Linked DNA regions of Ovis aries. The protein of the gene in region 1 interacts with the protein of each later gene in a pairwise test. Links are inferred from orthologs where the notes say so. Each region holds a gene or a part of one and is shown in the gene's direction. Other genes may lie near its edges.

Region 1 (2,724 bases):
GTGCTGCCATGCCCCTCCTCCACAAAGCTATCTTTCTAGAAACCTATGTGCAGCTTGTCTAGGCCAGAGGTTTTAAGCTGTTCTGTGGTGGCAGAACCTCTTCCTCCAAGAAAAATAAATAAAATGTCAACAGCTCCAAGGGGTTTGGAAAAGAAGCTCAGGTGGAAGCCAGGGCAGGGGGTGACATGACCAGTCATGTGTTTCACCTCTGGTACTTGGCCTCAGAGAGTGTGCAGGATGGACTGCGGAAAGGGGCCGAGACACCCCAGACAGAGGGCCCCCTGTGCACACGCGCCACGGCGTCCCTGCAGGCTCTGCTGTCTCCCTGCAGGACCTCGTGCTTGTCAAGAACACAGACGTGCAGGCTGCCCGCCTGGGAAATGCTGTCCACGCCATGATCACGTATCGCCGTAAACTGGACCGTGAAGAGATCAAGCCTGTGAGTTGTGTTGGGGGTGCGGGCGTGACCGGAAGAGGGGCCGCCATCTGAGCCGTACTGGGCCTTCCTCCCAGGTGATGGCACTGGGCCTTGTGCCCATGTGCTCCTACCAGATGGAGAGGATGTTCAACACCACTCGCATCCCGGGGAAGGACACAGGTATGGGGTCGCACCCAGGCGCCCGTGCTGGGGCCTGGGTGGAGGCCCCTCCCTGCCAGCCATGGGCCCACCACGCCAGTGCCCTGCTGCCTGCTGCTCCCTGAGCATCCTCAGCATGTTAGGGTCGTGACACTGCGAAATATAGTCAGTTTGTGGCCGATAGTAGACACCTACTATTTACAGGCACGATGCTACTGCTGGGGCCCTGAGAGGCCAGGACGGAGCCCCTCCCTGCAGGGCTCCTGGCACACAGGAAGAGCCTCCTGCACAAGAGCAGGAGGGAGCCTAACAGGGCTCCTGCCTTGAGGGGCCTGTAGAGCAGGAGGGCGGGCTTGCCCAGGGCCACCAGAGCGGCGCCTGCATTTCTGTCTCCAGCACAGCCTGTGATTTCCTAGAGCTCCAGGTTCCTCTTCTGTGAAATGCCTCATGGGACTGTGGTTGGCATTAAGTGAGAGACGGGGAAGCTCTGGCTCGATGCCCAGAGGTTGGCGGAAGGCAGGCCCGGCGGAGGCCCTCGTGGCCGCCTGGTGTGGGGCCGGGGGCCTTCGGGGAGGCGTGTGGGGCGGGGGCCCTGCTTCTGCCTGAGCCCACCCTGGCCTCCGCCACAGACGTGCTCCAGCACCTCCCGGACAGCAGGCACGTGGCCGTCTACCACAAGGGCCGCTTCTTCAAGCTGTGGCTCTACGAGGGCTCCCGCCTGCTCAAGCCTCGGGACCTGGAGATGCAGTTCCAGAGAATCCTGGACGACCCCTCCCCACCCCAGCCTGGGGAGGAGAGGCTGGCGGCCCTCACTGCAGGGGGAAGGTATTGGGGCCCACGCTGGGGCACCAGGAGGAGAGGAGTTCAGTCCCACGTGCCACCCTGGAGCTCAGGCAGGAGGCCTGACGGAGGGACGTAGGCCCGGTGTGCCCGGTGTTGACCAGGACCTGCCATCGTCAGGAACACCGGTGGCAGCAACAGGGAGTCGCTGCTGTGACCTCTAACTGCTGCTGGCTGGATGGGGGTGTGCAGAGACTGCAGACACAGGTCCTGGGCAGGGCTCTCATCCTGCAGGGGGCCCCGCTCACTCTGCCCTTGTGCCCTCAGAGTGGAGTGGGCGCAGGCACGCCAGGCCTTCTTCAGCTCTGGCAAGAACAAGGCTGCCCTGGACGCCATCGAGCGCGCTGCGTTCTTCGTGGCTCTGGACGAGGAGTCTCACCACTACGACCCAGAGGACGAGGCCAGCCTCAGCCTCTACGGCAAGGCCCTGTTGCACGGCAACTGCTACAACAGGTACACGCCCCGGCTCCCCCGCTCGCGGGCCCCGGAGCTCCCCACGCCTCCCCCGCTGCCCTTCTCCTCCCGCTGCAGGTGGTTCGACAAGTCCTTCACACTCATCTCTTTCAAGAACGGCCAGCTGGGACTCAACACAGAGCACGCGTGGGCAGACGCCCCTATCATAGGGCACCTCTGGGAGGTAACAGGCCCTGGGAGGGGCCCTGCAGCGCAGGCTTGGGGTGGGGTGGCAGCGCAAGGACCGCCTCTCAGCCTGACCTTCCCCTGCAGTTTGTCCTGGGCACCGACTCCTTCCATCTGGGCTACACAGAGACGGGGCACTGTCTGGGCAAACCCAACCCTGTGCTGCCCCCGCCTCAGCGACTCCAGTGGGACATTCCTGAGCAGGTGTGCGGGCCGAGAAGGGGCAGGGGTGGCTGTGTGAGAGTGGCAAGGGCCTGAGATGCCCTGCAGGCCTCCCCTTTGTCCCAGCCCCACTCTCAGGGGGAAGGTCCGAGTGTCTCTTATGGTCCAGACTGACTCCAGGGAGAACAGAGACCCCAGGACCGTCTGGGGGTTGGAGAAAAACGTGAGGCATGAGCTCATGTCTGGGAAGCACCTGTCAGTGCCCGCTCCCCCGCAGAGCCCAGCCCCGCCTCTGCACTAACGCCCCCAGCCTGTCTGTGGCGTCTCCTCCTGAGGCCATCGAGGCCTGCCCAGCCTTGCCTTCCTCCGTTACTAACCCTCAGGCCTTCTGGACATGACCCTGGAGCCCTGCTGGAGAGCTCTGCCCCCAGCTGACCTCTCCGTGTCTTGGCAGTGCCAGGCTGTCATCGAGAGTTCCTACCAGGTGGCCAAGGCTCTGGCGGACG
Region 2 (2,861 bases), on another chromosome or scaffold:
ATAGAATGGGTATAATAATAGATGGCACCTACCTAGAGATGACAGGGTAGTTGGAAGGATTAGATGTTTAGCTCCTTCTTCTGTCCGTGATAAAAGAGAAAGTGAAGTCACTCAGTCGTGTCCGACTCTTTGCGACCCCATAGACTGTAGCCTACCAGGCTCCTCCATCCATGGGATTTTCCAGGCAAGAGTACTGGAGTGGGTTGCCATTTCCTTCTCCAGAGGATCTTCCCAACCCAGGGATCAAACCTGGGTCTCCTGCATTGTAGGCAGACTCTTTACATCTGAGCCACCGGGGAAGTCACATATCTGCCTATGATAAGCAGTCACTAAATATTAACTGATAACCCCAGGGGAAGCAAGACCCAACAGACTGTAACCTTCACTCCAGCCACCTTCTTAATGAAGAGCACAAGCTCGAATAGGTTTATCTGGATCCACACATTTCCAGAGAACACTCGAGGGTTTACAGATCGTTTGTTATTCTCTGCCCTCTCAGCCTAGCTAAGCAGAGAGATGGAGATTATTTATTCCACATCACAGGGTTAACCCCTGTATTAGCACATTTGGGCTGCAGATTCAGTGTCCAGTGAAGCCTGCTTCCTGGTTTATAGATAGCTGTTTTCTAGCTGCATTTCAAATGGAGAAGGGGGCCAGGGAGTCTGTGTGGTCCCCTTTATAAGGGCACTAATCCCATTCATGAGGCCTCCACCCTCATGACCCAATCACTTCCCCAAGTCTCCACCTCCAAGTACTATAGCTTTCAACCATACAAACTTTGTGGTGAGACATAACCTTAAGTCTATAGCTCCCCACAACCAAGACAGTCAGGGCTGGGAGCTGCCCAAGCCCCTCCCCTTCCCTTGTTCCTACTCACCACTGCTGTGAAACTGAGTCTCTGCAGAAGGACTGGCCAAGTGAGTCACCAGTGTGGACAGAGAGGTGCTGGGAATAGTCCCTTATAACATTTATTACAAATCAACCTCTGCATCCCATCCTTTCACGAGAGCCACAGCATCCCGATTCCTGGTGTGCACCTGCCCTGTATACAACCTCCCTGCTTTTCCAAGACACTTGCCTGCGTCTCCTTAGACATCTGAAAATATGGCTACAAACAGCCCCACAGACTCAGCCCACTAGGGCAGCCACTCCAGAGGCACAGGCCCCTTGCTCTGCAAGTACCTGTGACATCGCCAGCTTCGACAGTCCCCTGTGACCTCACCCTCTGGGGAGCTCAGCCCAGCAGGGCCACGGCCACTCTCTCAACCAGCACAAGTAACAAAGGGCCTAGATGACCACCGTGCCCTCGGAAGAGGCCGGAGCCACCAGTGCCCCTCCGCATGGGGACAGCAGGTCTACAGACCTCCCAGCAGTGGGGTCCCAAAGTCAGGTCCCCCTCCTCACAGATGACCCAGCGTCTCTTGATGCTATAACATCAGCTGAACAGCAGGATGTAGTTCAGGTCTCCACTGAGCCAGCCACCTCGAGGACCACGTCAGAGTCTGGGGATGCAGATAGGCATGAAGCTGCCGAGGGGCAGGCCCAGGAGCCCAGGGAGGCCACAGCCCTGCCTGCTGACCCGGCCCCAGGTGCCCTGAAAAATTCCCTGGGCTTCCAGAATCTAGTGCAGAAAGGGCTGCTGCAAGATTCCAGCAGAACTCAGAATCCTCAGATTTTCCAAGTTAACTCCCTGGTTGAGGAAGTGAAACCACAAGCAGTGGCCACCCCAGACAGAGAGCAGGAGCCAGCAACAGCCACCCCAAGTGCCGAGGCACAGTCCCCCCAAAATGTGGAGGCTCAGCCCATCGTGAGCACCACAGACCCCAAGGACCAGCTTGACCCTGGGACTGCTGACACCCCTGAAGCTGTTGAGGAGAAGCTGGAGGGTCCTGAAGCCTTGAACCCTGACCCTGATGCTTCGCCATCAACCGCTGCCTCGCCGGGCCCTGGAGAGCTGGCCCTGGGGACAGGTCCCCTGGACTCCACGGCTGACGAAGAGAACAGCTACATGCGCTCCATGACCAGCTTGCTGGGCGGGGGCGAGGGGTCCATCAGCTCCCTGGCAGACATCCTGGTGTGGTCCGATGCTACCATGGGCCTAGCCACAGGCTTCCTGGCCACCGGCCGTGGCTCCGTGTCAGACCTGCTGCACACCCCAGGGCCCAGCCTGCGCTCTGTCTCCAGCATCCTGGGGAGAGCCAGCTCTGCCCTGTCCTCCAGGTTAGTGGTGAGGACCAGAGCGGCCCTGCACTCCATCACCCACGTGCTGGAATCAGTGGAGCGGAGGACTGTCGAGGGCATCCGTTCGGCCATGTGCTACCTGACCAACCATCTTACCCCACACTAGGCCCACGCCACCCCCTACTGGGACTGGACCCCATGTTCGGCAGCTTCCCGAGACCCGGGGGACACTCCTGCCCCCCCTTTCTCGCCCACTCCTGCTCTGGACAGCTCTCCCCAGACTGGGCAATAAATCACTGGCAAGCGTTTATTTTCCAAGCGCCGGCCTCCTCCCTTGTCTGTGCAGTGGGCTCAGGGTGGAGGGACAGGAGGGAGCTAGGGTGTTCTGGAAATGGAAAGGTGCCCCCCCTGAGGGCTTCTTAGCTTGTCCCACTCAGGAGCTGGGAGCCAAAGTGCAGAAAGAGACCTGCCTTGGGACTTTCCCGAGTGGTCCAGTGGCTAAGACTCTGAGCCTTCCAGTGCAGGGGGCACAGGTTCAATCCCCAGCATGGGAACTAAGATCCTGCATGCCACATGGCATGGACAATACAATTTTAAAAATTAAAATTAAAAAAAGAGAAAGAGAAGGGCCTGGGCAGGCCAGGGAGGCCAGGTGTGGGGAGCTGTGGGTGCTGTCACTC

What was found. The genes of interacting proteins can lie anywhere in the genome.
Region 2: the proteins of CPT1B (region 1) and TEX44 interact in binary tests that used the Homo sapiens proteins (3 or more experiments, as listed by UniProt). The two-hybrid records come from large-scale screens. The link is inferred for Ovis aries from reciprocal best matches to the Homo sapiens genes CPT1B and TEX44.

The regions. Positions count from the first base shown.
Region 1 is NC_056056.1:225,818,022-225,820,745, reverse strand, and holds part of CPT1B (carnitine O-palmitoyltransferase 1, muscle isoform), read left to right. Parts: intron 1-331; coding exon 332-439; intron 440-513; coding exon 514-598; intron 599-1,206; coding exon 1,207-1,402; intron 1,403-1,684; coding exon 1,685-1,870; intron 1,871-1,948; coding exon 1,949-2,054; intron 2,055-2,143; coding exon 2,144-2,260; intron 2,261-2,672; coding exon 2,673-2,724. UniProt on the Homo sapiens protein: Catalyzes the transfer of the acyl group of long-chain fatty acid-CoA conjugates onto carnitine, an essential step for the mitochondrial uptake of long-chain fatty acids and their subsequent beta-oxidation in the mitochondrion.
Region 2 is NC_056055.1:233,325,736-233,328,596, forward strand, and holds TEX44 (testis-expressed protein 44), read left to right. Parts: upstream 1-1,291; coding exon 1,292-2,347; downstream 2,348-2,861.